6 linked regions of the Oryzias latipes genome follow. The protein of the gene in region 4 purifies or fractionates together with the protein of the main gene of each other region. This does not show direct contact. Links are inferred from orthologs where the notes say so. Each region holds a gene or a part of one and is shown on either strand. Other genes may lie near its edges.

Evidence for each region.
Region 1: the proteins of vesicle-associated membrane protein 8-like (region 4) and stx12 purify together in Homo sapiens (affinity purification with mass spectrometry; 3 studies listed by BioGRID and IntAct, counting the BioPlex papers as one, with this or other methods). This does not show direct contact. The link is inferred for Oryzias latipes from reciprocal best matches to the Homo sapiens genes VAMP8 and STX12.
Region 2: the proteins of vesicle-associated membrane protein 8-like (region 4) and syntaxin-4 purify together in Homo sapiens (affinity purification with western blotting; 3 studies listed by BioGRID and IntAct, with this or other methods). This does not show direct contact. The link is inferred for Oryzias latipes from reciprocal best matches to the Homo sapiens genes VAMP8 and STX4.
Region 3: the proteins of vesicle-associated membrane protein 8-like (region 4) and syntaxin-6 purify together in Homo sapiens (affinity purification with mass spectrometry; 3 studies listed by BioGRID and IntAct, counting the BioPlex papers as one, with this or other methods). This does not show direct contact. The link is inferred for Oryzias latipes from reciprocal best matches to the Homo sapiens genes VAMP8 and STX6.
Region 5: the proteins of vesicle-associated membrane protein 8-like (region 4) and snap23 purify together in Homo sapiens (affinity purification with western blotting; 3 studies listed by BioGRID and IntAct, with this or other methods). This does not show direct contact. The link is inferred for Oryzias latipes from reciprocal best matches to the Homo sapiens genes VAMP8 and SNAP23.
Region 6: the proteins of vesicle-associated membrane protein 8-like (region 4) and stx7 purify together in Homo sapiens (affinity purification with mass spectrometry; 7 studies listed by BioGRID and IntAct, counting the BioPlex papers as one, with this or other methods). This does not show direct contact. The link is inferred for Oryzias latipes from reciprocal best matches to the Homo sapiens genes VAMP8 and STX7.

What each region holds. Positions count from the first base shown.
Region 1 is NC_019869.2:17,750,869-17,755,013, reverse strand, and holds the start of stx12 (syntaxin-12), read left to right. Parts: upstream 1-1,345; 5' UTR 1,346-1,461; exon of another isoform or gene 1,462-1,478; intron 1,479-2,024; 5' UTR 2,025-2,063; coding exon 2,064-2,160; intron 2,161-2,605; coding exon 2,606-2,675; intron 2,676-3,474; coding exon 3,475-3,574; intron 3,575-4,033; coding exon 4,034-4,145. UniProt on the Homo sapiens protein: SNARE promoting fusion of transport vesicles with target membranes. Together with SNARE STX6, promotes movement of vesicles from endosomes to the cell membrane, and may therefore function in the endocytic recycling pathway.
Region 2 is NC_019877.2:19,251,478-19,255,678, forward strand, and holds the end of syntaxin-4, read right to left. Parts: coding exon 4,136-4,201; intron 4,065-4,135; coding exon 3,994-4,064; intron 3,870-3,993; coding exon 3,761-3,869; intron 3,651-3,760; coding exon 3,577-3,650; intron 3,309-3,576; coding exon 3,171-3,308; intron 3,093-3,170; coding exon 2,982-3,092; intron 1,470-2,981; coding exon 1,392-1,469; 3' UTR 501-1,391; downstream 1-500. UniProt on the Homo sapiens protein: Plasma membrane t-SNARE that mediates docking of transport vesicles. Necessary for the translocation of SLC2A4 from intracellular vesicles to the plasma membrane.
Region 3 is NC_019862.2:1,653,413-1,656,912, reverse strand, and holds part of syntaxin-6, read right to left. Parts: exon of another isoform or gene 2,990-3,500; intron 2,007-2,989; exon of another isoform or gene 1,915-2,006; intron 265-1,914; coding exon 170-264; intron 77-169; coding exon 1-76. UniProt on the Homo sapiens protein: SNARE promoting movement of transport vesicles to target membranes. Targets endosomes to the trans-Golgi network, and may therefore function in retrograde trafficking.
Region 4 is NC_019867.2:25,804,124-25,807,325, reverse strand, and holds part of vesicle-associated membrane protein 8-like, read left to right. Parts: intron 1-481; coding exon 482-643; intron 644-3,202. UniProt on the Homo sapiens protein: SNAREs, soluble N-ethylmaleimide-sensitive factor-attachment protein receptors, are essential proteins for fusion of cellular membranes.
Region 5 is NC_019880.2:4,940,082-4,943,581, forward strand, and holds part of snap23 (synaptosomal-associated protein 23), read right to left. Parts: intron 3,451-3,500; coding exon 3,333-3,450; intron 2,857-3,332; coding exon 2,671-2,856; intron 2,597-2,670; coding exon 2,452-2,596; intron 289-2,451; coding exon 226-288; 3' UTR 1-225. UniProt on the Homo sapiens protein: Essential component of the high affinity receptor for the general membrane fusion machinery and an important regulator of transport vesicle docking and fusion.
Region 6 is NC_019882.2:21,987,180-21,991,452, reverse strand, and holds the start of stx7 (syntaxin-7), read right to left. Parts: upstream 2,801-4,273; 5' UTR 2,786-2,800; coding exon 2,641-2,785; intron 1,582-2,640; coding exon 1,489-1,581; intron 1,387-1,488; coding exon 1,317-1,386; intron 798-1,316; coding exon 707-797; intron 620-706; coding exon 482-619; intron 1-481. UniProt on the Homo sapiens protein: May be involved in protein trafficking from the plasma membrane to the early endosome (EE) as well as in homotypic fusion of endocytic organelles. Mediates the endocytic trafficking from early endosomes to late endosomes and lysosomes.

The sequences.
Region 1 (4,145 bases), on a different chromosome or scaffold from region 4:
AAGGTCTATTACCACAGGCACCACTGTCACCTTCACTTTCCAGGCTTTCTCCAGTTCTTCTCTGAGTCTCTGGTATTTCTCCAGTTTCTCATGTTCCTTCTTCCTGATGTTCCCATCACTTGGCACTGCCACATCCACCACAACGGCTTTCCTCTGTTCTTTATCCACCACTACAATGTCTGGTTGGTTCGCCATTACCATCCTGTCAGTCAGTATCTGGAAGTCCCACAGGATCTTTGCCCTTTCATTCTCTATCACCTTCAGAGGTGTTTCTCTTTTTGACTTTGAGGTTTCCAGTTCATATTCTGCACACGTGTTTCTGTATATTATTCCAGCCACTTGATAATGGCACTCCATGTATGTTTTCCCTTGCAGCATCTTCAACCCCGCAGTTATGGTGTAAATGGCGTACACTTACAGTATATAGCGCTTTTCTACCTACAAGGCCCAAAGCGGTTTACAAACACAGACCCATTCACACACTGGTGGCGGCAGATTTATAACTGTAAACAATAAATCCTTGTTTATTTCTGAATAATGGTGTGTGTTTTGTCTATGACTTGATGCGTACTGATGGAATGCTGTTATCATACAATGGGTTTGTAACTAAATACAAAATTAAGGATTCTAGTAACTGTTATAGCAAAGTCTGTTAAGCAATTACCATACCTTTACTTAATCTTATTCATAACATATTACAATACAATGCAATCAAACCACAATTTCCAGAATTAATGGAAAAGTTAATGATATTCCCCTAAAAGATAAAAAAGGCAACAATAAACTCTAACCTTTAAACAAATAATTTTCTGCAACTTTAGCATAAACAATGAACGCGACTTAGAAACCACCCTAATGGACAAATCTTTTTCTTTATACACAAAGTACCCACTTCCACCTAAAATGAAAGAAACGCATTTTAAAATAATATCTAAAATTTACCCTGTTGGAGATTTTTTACATAAAAGATTCAAATTTCAATCAGAACCACGCATATTCTGTTCATCTGAAACTGAAACGTAGAACATCTCTTTTACAGTTGCAAAAATATTTTGGACTGATATTCACAGTTGGTTGTCACTCAAAGTTTTAAATATTCCCTTTTTTTCCTTATCTGATGTTCTTTTCTATATGAAAAATCTGGACCCGGGAATTTCTTTTTTTTCTATATGCGCATTTATAACGTTTGTTCACCCTTACTTGGTCTGTATGAGCATTTAAAAAAAACAAAACAACAAAAAACAACGTCATACCGAAATGTCACATACCAGGAAGTCGAATGCTCAGTTTTGATTGGTGGCTCACTGGACCCGGGCACGCTACAGCGTTTTGATTGGTGGTTTGGTTTCAAATGCGTGACCTGATTGGTTGTCAGAGGAAGTAGGGCTCGGTGATCTCAGCTGAATCCGGAACCAAGCCCTGATCGAAGGGCGAGAATTTGTTTCTTCAGCTGAATCATATGCAAGTATAAAATAAACGTCAGTTACCTTGTTTCGTAGTTTCAAATGTCGATTAAACGCTATTTTAAATATGCAACGCAACGATTTCATCGTTTATAATCTAACGCTTAGAAGTTAGCACGTTTAGCTAACACGTTAGCATCGTTCCGCTACGTGTTGTTGGGAATGTCACTCTGTGATGTAAAATTCCGTTAGCAGAACGTCGCTCTGGTAACATTGTTGTGGTTATACTATCAATATGTTAACGTTGCGGCTTCATGTTTGTCTATAAGTCAACATCTGCTGGTTAGTTAAATAAGCGTACGGGTCTTATGGTGTGCGTCATGTCAAAAAAAAAAAGCAGCGAAATCCTAACAGTTCTGTATATACTTTACTAGTCTGTATTATAATTTTGTGTGATGATTTTAATAAATGTCAGCTTTTTAGTCTGTGCGTTTTAGTAAGTTTTGAAGCGTGATTGCATTCTCCCTCCGACCTACATTTGGAGTTTTAGATTGAATTATTCATGTTAAATAACAGTTTGTGGCCTTTTTCAAATTTCCTTTTCTTTTTTTGCATGCACAGTTTTAGCTCAACATCAAAGCCAAGCCTTCCGCCTCAAACATGTCCTACGGTAAAGCGGAGTTCCGCCCTGTCCCGAGGGACTTTGGCTCCCTTATTCAGACATGCAGCTCCAACATCCAGAAGATCACACAGAACAGTGAGTCCTCCATTGCTGGGAGCTGAGACTCATTGTTAGTCACTGGCTCAGGAAGAAGTCATGTGAGAATGCTTACAAGAATCGTGATGATCTGCTGCTTAACTCAGGCCTGTTCAGGGGGGGAGATCCAGGTTAAGCAATCACATGGCTAATTCATCACAAGTGCTTCAGGAAAATACACTATTCTAAATGTTCAGGTTTGCTTCCTTTTTGAGATGTGTACAGTAAATAAGTGCTTACATTCTTTGGTACAAAACTCACAAATTAAGTTGCATTTTCTGCTGTCTATACAAGAATGGACACTAAACTATTTCTTAGCTCGTTTGCTTCTGCGGTTTGGATTGGTTTTTGTGTTTTTTTCTGTGTTGTTGTTTGATATCTGTGCACACAGATGATCCCTGAGTAAAGGTTTTGGAGATTAAGATTGTTTCTGTTTTCCTGACAGCCGCACAGATTAAGACCATGGTGAACCAGCAAGGGACAAGGCAAGACTCCAGTGAACTTCACGATCGTCTGTATGTCATCATTTCTTGTTTCATTTTTTTCTACCAGTTTTAATGAAAACACAGGCAGATGGAGGTTTTCTAGCTGGTTAACATCTGATGCAAATATCAGTGTTATCTTTGTTGGTAATAACCTCCTAATGAGGCTGAATATGAGACCAACACTGATGCAATTATTCAATAAGGCACCCTGACTTATGTTTAAGACAATATGAAAAAAAAAACTAACACAGCCAGTTTGCTTTACATGCATTTCTTGCACACACTGTTGTTAATCATATGTATTGAGAAGTAAAACCTTTAAAATTGTTATAATTCAGGCTTTTTGGTGACAAAATTTGGTTTCAGCTACAAAACCTACATCTACTGACCCAGGAGTCCTCCTGCTTTGCACATTTAAGTGATGCTGTGAGACCAGGAAGAGGTTAAATGACTGTTGCTGGTGGTTGTGGAGTAAACTTCAATAATCTCTTTTGTCTTCTGCGACTAAATGAATGTGTCACACTTTTTGATGGCGTGTTTTCACTTTGCAAAGAATTTTAAAATTTTGATTTATTTCAGAGCTGGTAGAAAAGCTCTATTATTTGATTTAAAAAAAAATACTAAGAAAATTAAAAATTTCAAGCTTTATTTGAATTGAATTGACAATAAAAGCAATTTACAGATGCATTAACAGTAGTGCATTACACATTGAGTGTGCTTTAGTGTGGAGCAGAATGGCTGGGACTGTAATAGCCTGAATCTGGGAAGCAGCTTCTTCTTGTGGCTGATGTTCAGTCCTGTTTTTATTGATGCACAGTTTTCTCTGCAGGCAGCAGATCCAGCACTACACTAACCAGCTTGCGAAGGAAACCAACAAACACCTTAAAGAACTAGGCTCTGTCCCTGCGCCTCTATCCCCCTCTGAACAGGTAAGTGGGAGTTTGTTGAAACGTCTGCATGAAGACCAAATCCTGAGTTTTTACCAAAACTGTCTCCCCTGACTGCAGTATTCCAAACACGGTGTGCAGCAGTACTTCAAAGTATTTTTGCAGCAGAAAGGTTTAACTGGAGGGAGATGGTTTGCTGTTGTGACCTCTGAAGTGATCAGATATTAGTAAAAGAAGGCGATTCTTGTAGTTGAGATTTGCTAATTTTTTGTTTTGTAAATTTTAAGCAGGAGATGAAAGCCGAGTTTATGTATAAACGATACAGAGGAAGCAGGGATTTTTCCTGAAAATCTTTAGGAAAAAATAGGAGTTAAGTTACAATGTTGCTGCTTGAATGTTGGAAAGTGATTGTCAGGATTGAACTTTAAAATCTTAACCGTTATCTAAATGCTTTTTTAAAAAGTGTCTCCTAATGTGCTTTGGGTGCTCTGCTCTGTCCAGAGGCAGCAGAAGATTCAGAGAGACCGGCTCATGAGTGATTTCTCTGCGGCGCTCAACAACTTCCAGGCGGTTCAGCGACACGCAGCCGAGAAAGAGCGGGAGTCCATAGCCA
Region 2 (4,201 bases), on a different chromosome or scaffold from region 4:
CAAACAGTTTGCCATTCATCGCTCTTGGGTCATGTATAAAAGGAAAAGAAATCACATTACATGAATAAAATGTGAATAAATTTACTGGTGCAGTTCCAGATGACTGTAATTGTCGATTTAATTTTGAGCAAAGGTGATTATTACCTGGGGGGGTGGGGGGGGTGGGGGTAATGGGTAGTTCTGGTGATGGTCTTCTGATTTCTTTTGCCGCATTCCTTTGATCCCTTGTAATTCCACATTGTTTTACTTGAAAACTAAGACAATTACAGTTGAATAAAAAGACCAAAAATTAGTGACGGTTTGGTGTTAAAGGTTTGTCGCTGTATTTCTGGTACATGTGTGGTCAGAACGTTTAAAGGAAAAGACTTCAGTCTCACTTCCTGGAGACTTTTTCATGTCATGAAAGTAGATTTTTAAGCCCAGATGCCACGACTCAACTTCATGCATAAATTAAAACCGTTTAGATGTTTATAAAGAAAAAAAAGCTGACAATGACAAAGTAAAGGCAGAGTATTTTATTTAAAAAACCAAATATTACAATGCTTTAACAGCTGAACAGTGGGAAAGTTGTCTCCTTCAGCTAACCTGGAGCTAGATGTTGTCATTTTGTCTCTCAGCAGGTCGTCTGAGTGTCAGGAGGTCACAGAAACCCTCAGAAGGGTTTGGCAAAGAAAGCTGTGCCGAATCTTTATTAAGAGGCTACAACAGATCAAAAATCCATCCCTTCTTGACAGTGTTGGTGCTCAGCATCACATTCTTAAGTAGACAGCATGGAGAAGGCACAGTTCTGAAAAGTTAAGGCTTAGTTATGAAACAACTCATTTTAGTAGCAGCTTAGAATGTTTTAATAAATACAAACTGGGGTTGGCCTCGTTGGTGCTAAGGGATTTACTTTTCCCTATTTACACTTGGAAGTCCAAATGCTCAAGATAAAAAAAAATCTCTGTATGATCACAATCTGTTATTTACAATATTAGTCTGTTTTCCGTTTATAAAAACCTGTTAAACTGATTTTTACAGTTTCACAGTGGAAGCGTAACAAAAGTGAACAGATTTCCTGAGATCAATACTGCAACTGCATTTTTTAAGCTCACTTTCTGTCTTTCTGTGAAAAATGGGGGTTAAACAGAAGAAATCAGGAACGGTATGTTAGTTTTGCAGGAAGAGACTCCTTCCTTAAACAGAAATGAAAATGCAAACATAACTGAAAATCTGACCCAAAAAAAAAACGCTTCATTACAGAAAAATGACTTGGAAGGTGAGGAATAGAAAACAAAAATGTTCAGTGACTAAATTCACCTGTGTGGACTCCTCTTACACACAAAAAATGTATAGATAATTTATATTCTATGTATCCAACATGCTGCAGGCAGTGTCAGCGTCCGCTTTTACTATGTGAACGTGGACACGACGGCGATGACAATAATGAGGAGGAGGATGGCACAGCAGATTGCGATCCAAAGTTTTTTCTGCAGTAAAAAGAAGAAACGGTATCAAACAGGTTGGTATTACAAAAAAAAACAAAATCAGATATACACAAAATATTTGCATGAAATCAGGGATCAAAAATAAAAGCTAACCTTAAATAGTTGAAGCTCTTAAAAGAAGAACTATACACTTCTGGTAAATTTGCAATAGCATTTTTTAAATTAAATTAAGTATCTGAAGGACCACAAATTGAGCTAAATCTCTCCACAACATCCTACCAAAGTGGAATAAATGATTCACATAACAGCTGCTTTCAGAAACTGAGCTCTTCTGCAGCCGTCTGTGCAACTGAAAATGTAAAAAGACATTTTTATCCATCGCCTTTGAAGTTAATTCTCAATTTTTATAAACACCTGCAGAATGTAAAGCGTTTGGAGACGGAACCACTGATCTAATTAGCTGGTGATGACATCCCACCAAACTTTAAAACATGGCTTTTTGAATGTGAACTGTTATAACAGGGTTAAAAACTGTTGATCTGAAAATACGAGGACTTCTGATTAGTTCAGGTTTTAAACCAAATGAAGGCAGAAAAAACTGATAGAAACATTTTAAAACCTCTGCCACTCTCCCAAGTCCCCATGACTACATATTTATGCTTCAGTCTGACTAAAGATACTTTAGAATGTTTTGATTTTTGAATGAAAAAGGGACTACATTGATAAACTACTGCTGCTCTGCAGACCCCATGTCCTAGAAAATGACTTTTCTTTTAAATAATTTGGCTAAAAACAGCATAATCCTAATTAAAAGACTAAACGAATCAAAAGATGATTGGAGTGGGGGTTTAAATTTTAGGATGAGTCTGGAGACTCAGTGTTTTGGTTTGTCAAAAGCAAAGAATGAGACGTTTGATCCGCTCTCTAAAATTGAAACCTTTGCACACAATTGTGAAAGTGAGATTTAAAAAAAAAAAAAAGGAGAACTGCAAAGTTCTTTAAAAAAATAAAATTTCAAAAGCATTTCTATTTGTGTTTTCAACAAATCTAGCGAGGCCCAAACAGGATCTCTCCCAAATTGGATTCATACCAAATCTGACTCTATCACATGCTTTTTTACAAATAAAACTCATTTTATGGGGTGGACAGTCAGAAACTTTTGTGCATGAAGCACCGATCAGGTGTGTGCCGGTTAGGCTCTTTGAAGTGATGCTTTGTAGGGACTGATTGAGTGCAACAGGTGAGGCCAGACCATATGTCAAGTCATTTAGTGTACCTTCTCAACCATGCCAGGATAAAAAAATGAATATATTAGTTATCAAACTTTAGTCTAAGTTAAAGCAAAATTTGGGTCATAACTCATTTCTGTCACCAACTCTGTATTTTCAGTTTTTTTATACCTTTGATTAACCCAAAATGTCAAAGTTTTAAACAAATTAAGAAACTCTGTGAATGTCAGAATATCGAGGATTTATTTGTTTTGAAACAGGAAGTCAGAAAAATTCAGCTTCCTGTTTTGCACTGGGTTCAAAATGCTCCATGATTTACACCTACCTTGCGAGCTTTGTTCTGATATGTGACGGCCTGTTGCGTGTTTTTCGCTGCGCTCTCCACGTAGTCGGACGACTGCTTGATGTTCTCTTCGATTCTGTTGACCATCTCTCCCTGGAAGACACAAAAACGCCATGATGGAAACCTATATCGGATGGAACCAGCCTGAAGGTCTGTTGGTGTTTGTGATACCTGAGCCTCCACCTCCATGGCGAGGTACTGGAACATGTCGTGCAGGTCTCTGACGCTCCGCTCCAGCTTCAGGATCTCATCGTGCCGCGACTCGATCTCATTTAGGGCTTGTTTAGTAGCTTTTGCATCATTTAAAATCTGTGAGCCACAAAAAGGTCCAATAAGTAAAGGAAAGAACCCAACCGAGCTGGGTGTTTGGGCTAACATCCCTCTGAGGAAGGCTGCACTAAGCATGGGTCTTCACGCCTCAGCTACTGTGACACTAAAGTCTGTTTCTTACCAAATCTGCTGTCCAGTTAGAGCAATTCGAGAGGTGACAAGAGAGCAAACCTATCATGACATGTTTCTGAGTGATGGAAAACAGCTGCAGCGTTTCCATGACGACACCTCTCGCACATCTACTCACATTTTGAGTGAAAACATCCGTTTGGCCGTTTTGAAGCATCGTGTCCAGTTCCTCTTCTGTCACGTTTGTGCCGGCTGGAGACAGAACCAATCAAACAGTGAGTCACATGTTCACAAAAGCACAGGTGAGGAAATACTTCGACGTCCCTGAACACCAACAGACGGCCTGGGACAAGAAAGCTCACTTATTTTAAGCTGCCTCTGTATTCTCTCCACGTTGCGATCTCTGTACTTGGCCTGGATGGTGTTGCAGTGGCCCATTAGCTCCACAAACTCCTTGGAAAGTATGGCATGCTGGGAAAAACAGACCAATTTATTTCACACAAGCAGCAAGGAGGATGCAACAGTCTAAATTTCTGCATTTAAGCCTATTCTGTCAAATAGATAAAATTATTGTTTAAATATGTAAAGATGCTACCTGAGTGCGCTGCATCCGGACATTTATGGGAATATATTTGCCATCATCGTCCGACTTTTTGGATTCAATACCTCAGTTGAGACGAGAAGAAACTTAAGTGGTTTGAAGACAAAATTCTTGATTTGAACTCCCAAATACTCACTTTTCAGCTTCCTCTGGATCTGGCTCGCTAATATTTTGATCTCTTCTCGAAGAGTTTGAAGCTCTT
Region 3 (3,500 bases), on a different chromosome or scaffold from region 4:
CAAAGGATGAAGAAGAGGAGGACGACAACCAGAAGAATAGCAAGCAGAATGCCAATGGCGCACCACTGTCTGCGATCTGCAACAACAGGAAGGCAGCAGAGTCTTTCATTGACAACCAACCATGTGTGAAGCAGCACCGCTGTATCTGGTTGCCGGGCAGATCTCTTACCACTGGTCATATGTGACACCTTGGCCAGTTTCTTCATGACATTGTCCAGTCTTGAATGTGTGTTGTCCATCTCATGGCTGAAATCATCCAGCATTCTGCGGTAGGAACCACACAGACGCACACATCAACAGCAGCAGCAGACATCTGGTTTTACTTTCACGTTTCATCAGAATACAAACGCTGCCATACCATAATATACAGCAGGGCAAACAGGGACCTTTAGACACCACGACCATGTCACAGTACTGTTCCTCTCCGTCTCTGATTCTCCTCCACAGGTGAACCGGAGACAGAGGGTTATGGTTAGCCAGGACGCTGTAGCTTCTTCATGATGCTGTGACCATGGTTGGTTCTTCAATTATCACGGCTCCTGACTTAAATGCTGGCTGATTGCTGAAAAGAAGGCTTTTATAAAGCTATTTTAAGATAAAGTGGATAAAAAGTTTCATCTAATCTCATTTTAAAATCAACTTTATCAGTCATGTCATGAACAGACATTTATGTTCGTAGTTCAAGTAAAAATGTACTAAAGTACGAGTACATGCACAGCCTGTTACACCTCTGTGCAGCAGCAGTTCAGCACACTAAACATGAGCGGGATATTTACCCCCCCAGAGGGTCACTAGTGTTAAACAAAATTCTAATTCACCTCTTAGCTTACATTTATTCATTCCACTGTCATCAACACAACAATGTCCCATCCCATCCCATCCATCCTGCCCTTTCAAAATAAGAGCACATATGTGCAATTACCATAAAACAAATAAAGAAGTATTTGTTATTTAACAGTCCCTGCCTTTATAGCTCAAACTCACCTTCTTTTTTATTTTTTTTTTATTTTTTTTTTTTTTTAACTTGTCCTGTCCAACAGCTGGGCAAACAGATGAGAGCTGAGGGCCTCTTGTGTTGGACATATTTTACTTTAACAAGAGGGGTTATAAATCTTCTGACAAACCAGAGGTATGTCTGAATAAACCCCTTTTGTAATCGAGGCCGAACTTTATTAATTTCAATCATATTTGAAAAACTTGTGTGTTGGACCGGACGGAAAAGGAAAGAAGGGAAGAAGAGAGAGGGATGTTAGAGGTTAGAGAGGGGGGGGGTGATTAAAGGAGGGGGGGGGGGTGAGACCATAAAGCGGCATAAAGCAACAAGTTACTGGATGTTTATCATTACAGTAAGGTTCAGATAGAATACAAATCTCAAAAGGCGGGGCCTGTCCACACGCACACTCAAATGTTATCAACACACCTGTTAGCTGTAAAAATGTCCACCTGTCAACATGTACACAAAACAGATAGTGTTCACACACGCATACCTATGACTTCAAACCAACTAGTGTGAAATTATATTTCATTCGACACGCAAACTATTAGTGCAAAGGTGAGCTAACACCTGTGCTCAGGTGAGTGTTTGTGTTCTTCCAAAATGGACGGTGGAATGTGAAAAGAAGAGGGAGAGTGCCCAGCCACCCCCACACCAAGACCCCCGCCACAGCAGCAGCGGCAGCCAGAATCCTCCAACGCCACACATCCCCCCCGGGCGACCACATCCGCCACCCAGGCCAGGACCAGCAGGACCGCCGCGAGGCCCCCAGAGCCAGAGAGCAGGGAGGCATGGGGGGAAAGAAAGTGCTGCCCCACCCCAACCAGGAGAGCAGCCCCCCCACCGCGCCAGGAGGGCCCAACACCGGGCCCCGCCCCAGAGGGGTGCCCACAGATCCAGACGAGCCTTTTTTTTTTTTAACAACACTGAATTTGCTGTTGCTGCATTTAACATGAACTAAGTTCCGCTTGTCCTTCACTCGGGGCTTCAGGTAACTAGCATGCAGATGCACCTTTTGGAGGAGTCCAAGACAACTGATCCGTGTTAAGAAAATAACTAATGGGGCATGTATGGTTAGATTTCTGATGTAAACTGTGCTATAGCACCCCCCCCCCCCCTCGTAAATCTGAAGCACTCCTGAAAAAGCTGCAGTTCCCCAGAACTAAATCAGCTTTCAGTTAAATATAGTGTTAAAATAAGACGTTAAAAATATATATTTACCGTCTTGTCTGAAAGATCTTTTGTGCTTTATTTTTTGTAAAATCACTGAAGTTGATTTTATGAAGGCCTTCCTTTCTGTATTGTTTTTTGTTTTTAGATGGACTCAACAAAACTCCCTCTTTACTCTGTCAGGCCCACCATTCAGACAGCTGTAACATGTTGTTTTGTTTAGAATAAGTATTCCTTGTTAGGGAATCGTGACACGTGACATTATCCCACTGATGTCTTTGCTGCTATTAAAAAACAAACCAAACCTTTCCAGACCAAATGTGTTCCTGTGGAGGGGATGCTTTCTAAAGGATAATCATTCATTATGTGTGCAAACAGCTGAACAGTAAAGATCATCTTTTTAGTTTAGGGGTCTGTTATGCTGCCCAGCGTCAGGCCACCATTCTCTCCAGATGTGATGAGTTCTACTTTTAAAATCTTTGAGGGCTGTACTTGGAGGAGCCATTGGTCTTCAACTATTTCAATGAACTACCAGACTGACCAAACCGAAGGGAACCAGACCACCGTGCTGCAGACGTTTGGGGTTCCTCCCAAAGCGAGTTCACATCTGAGGTGTGGCGGAGGCTTACCCTGACCATATGTCTGGTGCTGGTGATGAAGGCCTTCCTCTTTGACAGCTCCGCTGCATCCAGATTAAACTTCTTTGGGTTTGACTCTACTATGCGTTTGCAATGTGTTAAGGAACATGCTTTCTCTGTGCTGAGCTCCAATCCCAGAACCCCAAAAACAGGGAGGTGTAAAGAGAGTGAGCCTTAACAGATGCACCTTTTGGTAAAGCAGTCTGCAAGTTGTTCTTTCACGTTGTACCACAACACTCGCTCAACTCTGCTTGGATGAGTTGGCACTTTTTTCCAGACAGACTTCAGTGCGTCAGCCAGTGAATCTGTGACACAGATTATGGGTGGAGCGTGTTCAGTCGTTGGTTCAGAGAACAGTGTTGCTGCAAACGGTGCATTGTCAGTTCCATCAGACATTGCCAGTGTTTCTCCAGCAGGTGTGCTCCTCACAATTCTGTTCACTCTCTTTGAGGGGGAGCGGTGAAAACTTTCCACGTTCTCCCATTAGAACTATCAGGTTTCCTTCTTGAGTGGCTCCATCTGAAAGATTGCCAAATGAGGCATCACTGAACACCCTCATCTTGAGGGCTGAGTCCCTGCCTAGAAGCTCAAAGTTCAGAGCCACCTCACTGGATTTCAGTTTGCACACCGTTCTATTCGTTTCATGGATTTAAAGCATCAAACAAGACTTTTGGTCGACTCTGCCTTGCAACCCAGAG
Region 4 (3,202 bases):
TTTTGTGACGTGTAATCAGACACGACCATCGACACTCAATTCTTAAACAGTTTTCCCCGAAATTCTGACTAAATTAAGGTTCAGTTACAATTTTTCTGCTACATGTCTGTATTTGTTTCATTGTGTTCCTTGTGATTTTTGCATACATGTGCAATCCTCACGCTGCAAAAAACAGGCGCCCTAGAAATAGGTCAAAAATTCTTAACATAAAGAAAAATCTTTAGATGAACAAAATATCTGTCAACGGGGTAAGAAAAATTATCTTACCAAGAACTTTTATTAAAAAGTATTTTAGTAAAGAAATTCTGGTCACTAAGACATATTTTCTTAAATTAAGATTATGTTGCTTTGAAAAAAACTTTCCAAAAAGATTAATTTTCTTGCAAGACAGAAATAGATCATATCCTATATTTATTGGTAACCATAGCAACCTGATTATTGGCGAAGTGCAGCTAACTGTGGTCTTCTCCTGGTACGGCAGGAGCGAGGAGATCTGGCGGAGCCTCCAAAGGACAAAGTTGCTCAACTAAAGGATCAGGTGGATGGGGTGAAAAACATCATGACGGAAAACGTGGACCGGATCCTGGCCCGAGGAGAGAGGCTGGACGAACTCATGGACAAGACGGAGGACTTGCAAATGGGGGTCAGTGCTGCGGGGGGATTTGGTGGAGGAGCTGCTGTGCTCCGGCAGGCGTTTCTTCGTAAAAACACACTGGTGGAGCTGCAAACAGAGCCATAGTCTCACTCATTACATAACACTGAAAGTGTGGCTTTTTTTCTGTCCCTGAAGTAAAGTTTAAATTGCTTTTTGGCAAGACGTTGTTCCAGCTGCTCTCTATGACAAGAAGCTATTACAGTTTTTCTCCATTGGTTTGGCTCATTTCTTGAAACAGAAATTAGATTCTCAAAACTCTAAGATCATTTGGCAGAACAGTCTTACAGTTTAGCACAACACAATAGCTCACTTGCAAAATCTAATATATCTCCCCAAACTGTTCACTCATGCTTCAAAACTAAATTCCTTTCCCATGTAAAGAGTCAGTGCCACCAAAATGGCAAATATCCTTCTCAATTGCTTTGGCTCATTTCTTGATCAGACCGGACGTTCTCAACACTCTTGGTGCTTTTGTCAAAATAATGTGGATGGTTCAGCACAACCTGCAAAAGCTAATGTCTCTCCCAAAACAATTCCCTCCTGTGTCAAAACTAAATTTCCTTCTCACTTAAACAGTCAGTGCCTCCAAAATACTTTGTCCCTTTGGCATTGTGTAGGCACTGCAATTCAAAATGATTGGATGCTTTGTCACTATAGCAGAGGACCATTGAAATATCCCTCATGTCCACCTTTTAGTCTTAGCTCAGTCATTAATTGACAGTGGTAACTGTACTGTTTTTGTATAGCTAACAGAATACAATTCTGTATAAAACGGAAAAAAGAAAAAGGATTTTAGGGTAAGAGTAGCCTCTTAGGTATCACAGCACACATTGCACTCATACTGCCAAGGAAATTGTAACCATTATCATTCACACACATAAAGTAACTTTCATACATGGAAAAGTTTTATGCTGTAAAAATACAAACACTAACAAAAAACAATGAAAATGATATGCAACCTACAGTGCTGTAAATAATGCTTGAGTTTCACAACTAAAAGTTCTTCACTGGTCGCCTTCCTCACCCTCCCTCTCCTGGCCATCATCCACACGCTGCTGTCTGTCTGGCCACAGATTCTTGTCCACATCAGAGCGTATATTCTCCCTTGTGATGCAACGAGGGAAGAAACGGCGTGCATGTGGCAACCATCCCCTACACTGATCTCCTGTAATATCCTCACACGCAGCATCCATGGCATGGAGCAGGGACCTCTGATCTTGAGCCCGATGCTCATACACCACTCTCCACCTCCAAGTGGAAAAAAACTCCTCAATAGGATTGAGGAAAGGAGAGTAGGTATGAACATCCTTGGATGAGTAGTGAACCAGGCCCTGATGAGCGCGCCATGGTGGAAATTCACATTGTCCCATACAATAACATATAGTGGTAGGTGAGGCCCTAAGAGACCTCTCTCAGTTTCAGGGATCAAATCAAAATGAAGGCAATCCAAGAAGATGAGGGTCTTCTGTGTATTGTATGGGCCAATCCTGGGGATGTGAGTGGCCACACCATTCTCAGATATGGCAGCACACATAGTTATATTGCCCCCTCGCTGGCCTGGGACATCCTCCTTCGTTAGTCAAGTTCTAGTATCACCTGACTGTCAATTGCTGTAATAAATGTATCAAATGTTCCCAGGGATTCATATATCATATTCATGTATTATGTTTTTGACTAATTTTGACAATTGAACAGACTATTGTGCATGTGATGAGTTACACAATGAAATGACGCGGACTGATTTTGGAGTGAACAACCATTAGACTGAGAATCAACAATCAGTTTAGATCAAAAAGATCTATTCACTTGACAATTGTGCTAAATAAAGGCTACCTGTACTTAATCAATTGAAAGATGTACGGAGACATTTAGACTTGTACTAAGACATTTGCAATTTGAGGAAACCAATGAGAAAGTGGTTTGGATGTTTGTCCATGTTGTTTGGAGAATGTAATTTCTGTTTCAAGAACTGAGCCAAACCAATGGAGAAAAACTGTAAGAAAAAGTGTCTCCGCCTCAGACGTCTCACCACACGGGTACACTGGGCTCCTCACCTTGAAAGCTTTGATTTTACTGAAGCAGGTACAGCACAGGTGGAGCTGATGGCTTCGCCCGTTTCTCATTTCACTGTGTGTCCATTTCAATCAGCTATAAATATAGGTGCAAATAATAACATTCAGTCATTAGTCTTTTTGTGAGGCTGGGATGTTTTTCTAGTGATCTATGAACTTGTCTGCTGTAGAAAGACTTCAAGCTAAGCTGATGCATGTTCTGCTACATTTTTTTTTTATTATAAACAAAACTTCATGAGGTAGTTGATATAATAAATTAGCCTTACTGACGAGCCTTAAGGTAGATTTGCATCAAATTGGGAGAGTCTGTGAATATCATGAATCCAGACATGCAGACGTGATTATTGGTGCTTTTGTAGAACCCTTCATAAAGAATAACTTGACCTCTCAACATGTCCGTGTCTTCCAAGCATTTGCTGCATTTGGGGTTTGTAGATAAGCAGTCAAGGCTTCCATGTATTGATGAGGCTAAAAA
Region 5 (3,500 bases), on a different chromosome or scaffold from region 4:
TTTCCAGGAGAAGGAACCTGTTTTGGGATGGCAGGTCAGTCCAGCGGGGGTCGAGTTTTCTCATCTACATTTGAGAACAAAAAAAAAAAAAAAGACAGCTGTGCTGCCAACAAGGACAGATTTGCTCTACGGACGTGTGTGGAAACAAACTGTGTGCATGAAGGTCGCAAAAGAGGCTCCAAAGTGGAGGAGGGGAAAAAAAAAAAACGAAGCAGACGTCGGCGTTCATTTGATGAGCTTGTTGGCTCTCTGGTTGGCGTCGTCGATGCGCATTTTGTTCATGTCCGCCTGAAGAGGAAGAAAATAAAAGTAGACAAGCTTTTCTTTAGCTCACTTTTCATTTGACGGGAATGTATCAACAATTCCAACTACAGTTAACAAGTGAAAAACATTTATAAACCTGAGAAAAGCCTTAAGGATTCTATCCTCCAGTGCCTGAAAGCTAACAAAAACACTGCAGTAATTGTACCTTTGGAATTACCATGATACTTCCACTGCCATGCTTCCCCCTCAGGGATCTACTGTGAGCCAAAATCTCTTTATTACACATTCTGATCAAAATTATGTTCTTCAAAAAGTCAACTATCGTCTATGTCTGTTTTTCAACCTTTTTTGAGCCACGGCACACTTTAACTTTGACAAAAAACCTGTGGCACACCAGCATCCAAAATTTAAAAAAAAAAAAAAAGGAGAAACTCTATAGTCTGTATTGATCTACAGGCCCTCTGCAATCACACATGCATTTTTGTGACATCTAAAAGATGTAATAAAAAAGTTAGAAGATTTAAAAACTGTTTGATGTGTGTTCGTTGTGGTTTCAAGACGTTAAGAGGAAAGACTCCTTGTGCGTCGAGACGCTGTCACTTTAACCCAATGCATCATGGGAGATGTAGTGACACCTGCCGCCGAACACAGACAGACTATCGTCTCTGAGCTTCATGGTTTTGCTCACTTGTTCCACGGTCTGACACCGGATTCTGTGGAAAGCTACACAGCTAAAGACGAGCTTCAGCTGGTATTTTTGTTAGAACTGAGCGACTTTATGAGCCAAATCATGACAAGGAAGTGAAGACTTTAACCAATTGTGATTGGTCAGACTGATGACCAAGAATGATTGGCGGAGACAGTTAAAGGGGCGGGACTTCTCAGAAAACAGCTTTAGCTGGGGCTAAATTGCAGTCCCGTCATTCTTATCAAAATGTCTTTAATTAGAATCAAATAAACACAAAAAGAAAAGTAATTTATGATCTTTCATACTCCTAACTACGCAGTGTTTTATCAGGGCCTGTTTGGATGAACAGAGAGCTGATATACAGGAGATGGAAAATGTTTTTAGATCAGTTATGAGGGCACACCTGACCACCTCAGCACACTGGTTGAAAAACACTGCTCTATGTAAAGAAACCGGATGTTTTGCTCATTTGATTTAATTTTGCTAAGCTAACATAATTAACTGAAGATCAGTAAATGAAAACAGGTTGAGTCAGTGTGTTTGCTCAAAAGCCGTGGCCTTGAGCAAGGCCATTGACCTGTTTCAAAGTAATACCCGAATGATGAAACTGTGCGACACTGGACTGGGTGTCCTTAAAAAAATAAAATAAATAAATAAATAAAAACGAGCTGCTTTTTCACAAATAAAAGAAAAGCCGAAACATTGAAAATCCTCTCCACTCACAACAAACTCTGGATTTAAAAATCCACATTTTTCCCCCAGAAAGCCTTTTATTTGATCAAGTCTCCACTCCATCTCTCATCTTTCCCCTGAACGTCTGAGACTTTGAATGTCGTAAATATAAATGGAATACAGTTTCAGAACTGAGCTGCACTGCAACAAAAGATTTTTATCCTGAATATCTTGTCGGCTCATTTGATCTTTAAGCATCTTATTTTTATTTACGTCATATCACTTTTCTGGGCTTTTTAATTGATTTGGGGACTAATGATTATACAACTTTAAAGAGAAATTTCTCTTCAAATGTGTAATTCTAGTCTAATATCTAGAGGATTTTTTTTTTAAAAAAAAAGGAAAGTTCGAGAGCTTGAAATAGGATATATTTGGGGGAAAAGTATAAGAATGTATGTTATACATTTTAATTATAAACAACTTTTTTCAGCAACATCTGCTTCCGGTGAGAATTTTGATAATTTAATAATGAAAATGATAGTAGCCAATTTTGAAATGTTATTTTGTCTTAAAAGATACTTTTTTCAACTAATCCCCCAAAATAAATGATTCTAGTTGTTTTTTTCCACTTATTTTAAAAAAGTAAAACATCTTGTTTTCTCTAGTTTGACTTGCTTTAAGGACACTTGTTTGTCTGTCTTCCTTAAGGTTCATGTGAGGCTTCAGATTTTCTCTTTAGGATTTTTAAAATGTATTTATTGAAAATGTTATGAGACCATTTTCAGCTGAGAATAAAACCAGATGGTTGGTGGATCTCTGGCTCTCACCTTATCGGTGATCCTGTCGATCTGTACGTTCTGCTTGTCTATTTCATGTCCCATCGTCATCGCCATGCCTTTGAGGTTGGAGATGATCCCGCCCACCGCCTCCAGGTTTTCCTCCATCTCATCCTCTCGCGCATCATTGGTCACCCTGCAGCACAAAGCCACGTTTGTTGAAACGACGGTCGGCGGTCTCTGAACTCGGGGACCCGTTCGAGGCCCCACCTCTGGATGTACGGGCCCGACGGCGCGGCGGCGGTCCCCCTGGCGGCGGTCTGGGCGGGCTGTCCGTTGCGAGTGCGTGACGGCTGCCTGGACACCACCTTTGAGCCGTCGCCATCATTTTCCCCCTCCAGCCCTCCAGTGCCCCAGGTTTTTTTGTAACGCTGGTCGTTTTCAAGAGATGTGACTCTGTAAACAAATATAAACCGCATTTATGCGCCAAAACGTCAGGGAACGCCACACAAACAGGTTCACTAAAACACACACTGCTTTCAGGATGAGCCATTTCTACAAGATGCTAAATAAAGAGGCAGGAATCACAGAACGCCTCCTACCTTATGCCTTGATAATCAAAGTATCTCCTTCTCCAAAGTGAAAGCATTTGAGGAAGATTTGTGTTTAGAAACAACAAGTCACACAAAAGCTTCAAAGTCACACTTTCACTAAGAACTCGGAATAAAAACAGAAATGGATCAGAAGAATAAAACAGATTCTGCTTTAATGAATAAATGAAATGTTCCGCTTTTGCAAAACATGTCAATGTGAGCACGCGTGCAGCATTCTTCCTGATTCCAACATTTGGCATGAATGCAGTCCAACAATCCAACAGGACTCTTCCTGCACTCTGAGTGGCGGCGGCGGCGCCGGCAGCAGCAGCGGCGTACCTGTCGCAGGGGCAGGTGCAGAGGCCGCAGCACTTGTTCAGGTCGTTGAGGTTTTTCTCGGCCTGCTTCATGTCCTCGTTGATCTGCTCCATGCCCTCCTCTACTCTTTTGAGCTGCTCTGAATCACAAACACACTTCAACATCTTCATCTCTGCTGTTGGAAACAGC
Region 6 (4,273 bases), on a different chromosome or scaffold from region 4:
GACAATGCCTGTTCTTACTTTATGGAGATGTTTGAATGCCAGCAAGAACCACAACCATCAATGAATCAACATAAAGAGATCTGCCCCCCAACCAGCGGAAGGCTCATGCTGGGTCTGGAACAGGCTGGGACAGGTGCATCTGCTCACCTGACCATCTGAAACATTTCCTCACAGCGCTCACACTCACCCACTCCATCCTGAACACGCCTATAAACCCAGACACACTGTCACTGGAAGAAGCTTTTCTCATTTCCTCAGCTGGAGGGTTTCATCTGAATAACCTGTCTACGTCTGAACGTTCAGCCAAACTCTGAGCAGATGGTACATTATGGCCCAGAACAGCTGAAACCGGGAAACCATGGCAGTGTTGTTCAGAAAGAACCCGGATGGTCCTGGTTGTGGAACGTGTGAGTATGAGGTGAGCGTGCACGGAAAGCTCTCGCTCACAGCACTCCCAGAAATGACGAAGGCGAATACGAACCGACAGCCTGGAGCCAGCTCGGACTCGGGCCACGAACTCCCGCTCCTTGTCGGCGGCCTGCCGTTGGGTCTTCTGGAAACTGTTCAACGCAGCAGAGAAGTCATTGAGCAAACGCTCCTTCTGCAGCTTCCTCTGCCTCTGAAAACACAAACACAGCTGATCAATTCCCACAAACTCCTGACCGGGTTCGATGTGATCGGTGCGTGGGACGAAGGGGCCTCGTACCTGATCGGGACCGACGGGGAGGGCGGTGAAGGCCTTGATCAGCTGGTCGGTCTCCTTGGCCAGCTGGTTCCCCTGCTGCTGTTTCTGCTGACTGAGAACCAGAGGGAAGCATCTGTGAAACGTTTCACTCGAGGAAACAGAAATCTTACAAATCCATTACTCCTGACGTGGAAAATGCTCGGGTTTCAGGAGCTAGCTGAGTACAGAGTAAAAAAAAACTATTCTAAAGGTTGAAAACTACTTTTTGAACCTTAAACCCACTGAATGGAACTGTTTTAAAACAGGGACAAATGATCCCATTCAAGTAAAACACTGTTATAAGAATAGAACTTACTTTAGTAACAACCTGCATCTCCAATGTGTGTATATGAACATGTATGTGTTTAGAACATCTTTTTAAAGTTATCTTTCTGTTTTGATGAATGAATTAGATGCTAAAATAATAAAGACAGTCTGCTTCCTGCCATTCAGGAGTCTTTACAAATGAACTGACTGAAGGAACAAGGGAAACGTATGTGTGTGTGTGCATGGTGACCGTCCACAGACAGGCCGGCTGTCGGTTTGAACTCATTTGGCTGCATGTGTGATCAAGCAGGCGGTCAGAACTCACAGCGTCTGTCTGAGCTGGCTGCTGTCCTGCTCCGTCCCCAGCAGGGTCACGGCCCTCTGCAGCTCTGAGGCTGGAACACAGATCCATGAGTGAGGATGCTGGGGGTCCAGTGGGGTTCAGCATGTGCACAGGTCTGTGTGGGTGTGTGTGTGTGTGTGTGTGTGTGCATTACTCAGTAGTGTGATCCTCTGGATGTTGGAGCTGATGTTCTGAACCAAAGCGGCGGGCTCCCGTTGAATCCCAGCCTGGTAGGCCATGATGAGAGCTGAGTTCACACAGAAAGACACATTTATGTCTTGCTTTCATACAAACTGCATGTTTAACCTTTAAAGTCCCCCAACCATCATCTTATGATCTATTGTCAAAGTGTTCCCAGCGGTCTTTTCACTACGATTCTGCTGTTTTTAGACTAAATCAGAAAACGTTGTCGTTTTCTAGGACATAGTTTCTGCGGACTGGGAGTAATTCATTAGAAATTCCCCTCTAAGGTGTGGGCGGGACTGTTGGCGAAAAGCACAACACCCCCCCTTCCCGTCATCCATCTTTTTACAACTCTCCCCTGCTAGCTTACAGCCCCTCACAACCTCAAGCTAATATTAGTGATGCAACAAAAATGGTGATCAACATCAGATCTATCATCCGTCCAGTTCTGATCCAGATTCCAGGTCAGACCAGGAAGACAAAGACGTTCACGGATCTGTTTGTCTGACAGATCAGAATAGAGCAGAGCAGGGAGCTGGTGACCTGCTGATTGTAGTTTACGTAACAACTAAGAGGTTTTTCAAACAGCATTTTTTCTTCTGCTCCTGATTCACAACGATTTGAAGAAAGAAATACTCAGAAATGCAGTTTTAAGCTTGATTTTCTATATATATGTATGTCCTCCATCATTAGAAAATGCTACAAGAACATGTAAAAACACCACAAACACCATTTTCATTGGAGTAGGTTTTTAACTAGCAGGACGGGTGCTGGCAAAACCCAAACCCAAAACTGTTGTCAATCAGGAGCAGACAAAAAAAGACTGTGATGAAGACTAGTGATGTAGAAAATACTCTGGCCAGGCCAAAGTGTCCCTGCCCTGCTCCATTCTGATGCCCCCACCTGCAGACAAATAGATCCATGGACAGCTCCAATATTGAGCAGCATTCTTGTGGTGCCGCTAAAGCTATGGATGACGGGAAGTGAAGGTGGGCTTACTCTGTACCAACAGGATCAGGAGGGAAAACTACACCATCATCAGCGTTTGTCTGACATAAGCATCAACAGTCTGAGGTCAAACCAACGTTTTGATAACAAATGGAGATGATGGAAACTTCCTCACAGCTTTGAGTGATGGAGGCAGTGAAAACACAAAGAAGGAAAGTTGCTTTTCCTCTCAGAACAAATCCTGAAACTCTGAAACGCTGAAGGTCAGAACCAAAGAGCTGCTGCAGCAAACACCAGCCCAGCTGACCCCTGACCCCCATCCATGCTGGACCAACGTGGGCTCATGCCCAGTCTGCTCTGATCGGGGGCCAGTTGGGGGGGGGGGGGGGGGGCGTTGACGCGGGTCAGGCAGTTGCTCACGCGCGTTTCCGGGACCAGCGGCGCTCCAGCGTCTGCTATGATGACGCGTTTTTAGGACCCCGTCAAGACCCCCTCCGCCGTGCGTTACGGGGCAGCCTGCCGCCTGCAGCGGTCGGTCGGTGGGGCTGCAGTCTTTCCAGCAGCCGCAAATGCGGAAATCAGAGGACTTTCTCGGAACACCACGGTCTGTGTCCTTCCGTGACGGCTGCTCTCTCCCGGAGTTTCTGTTTATAAAACCCCGAACTTTAAGCGTCAACGTGACGTTTAGCTCATGAAACTACCGGTCTCTACACAACTGCCCCCCCACCCGCCCCCAGCCCGGTTCGGGACATCTCGCCGTTTGTCCTCAGAAAGTGAAGCGCTCCGAAACCCGCGGTAGGATTTTGGATCGAGACCAAAACCTGCTCTAGAACGGTTCGGTTCGTTTCTGGGATCGTTTGGACTTTACCTGCGCTGAGACTTGGAGCTGCGCCGTTTCCTGACTCGCAGCCACTCCCCGGTCACATGACGCGCACGGCCCGGCCCCGCTGGAGCCAAGAGCCGCAGGAGCCGCAGGGGCCAGGGGACACTCCCACCAAAGACTGGAGACAAGGCTTCAGGGTTCTGCTGCGCCCCGGTCCTTTAGGATGGAAACGAGTCAACTCCACAAAAACAAGTCATAACATTAACAATAAAGGACTAAAACATAGTTTCAGCGCGCTGGAGCAAAATGATGTTTATTCAAAAAATATGACAGAGTCTGAAGGCCACATATTTGAGAAGGAGGGGGGAAAGGAGACAGAGGTGGAGGTCTTCCTCATGTTAAGGTTTTCCTCATGTTGAGGTCTTCTTCAGGTGGAGGTCTTCCTCATGTTGAGGTTTTCCTCAGGTGGAGGTCTTCCTCAGGTGGAGGTCTTCCTCATGTTGAGGTTTTCCTCAGGTGGAGGTCTTCCTCAGGTGGAGGTCTTCTTCAGGAGGAGGTATCCCTCAGGTGGAGGTCTTCCTCATGTTGAGGTCTTCTTCAGGAGGAGGTCTTCCTCAGGTGGAGGTCTTCTTCAGGTGGAGGCCTTCCTCAGGTGGAGGTCTTCTTCAGGTGGAGGTCTTCCTCAGGTGGAGGTCCCCTGCAGTTCTCTCCCCTTTGGACCCTTCGTCTCCACTCAGTAGAGGAGTGGAAATCTGGATCACAGACATAGGAGGAAGCAGGACATGAACCTGAAGCGTCGTGGAAGCAGCAGCAGGTCTGTAGGAGGCAGCAGGTGTTTATCCACATATAGAATATATATCTTTGCACTATCTTTTTCCAAACTGGCAGATCAATGACATATTTGTATTCGTCAACAGCAACATGCAACTGTGTTGTATTACAGACTCATTCTTGCTCTGTAGCTGGAATATGTGGAAGGGCGCTC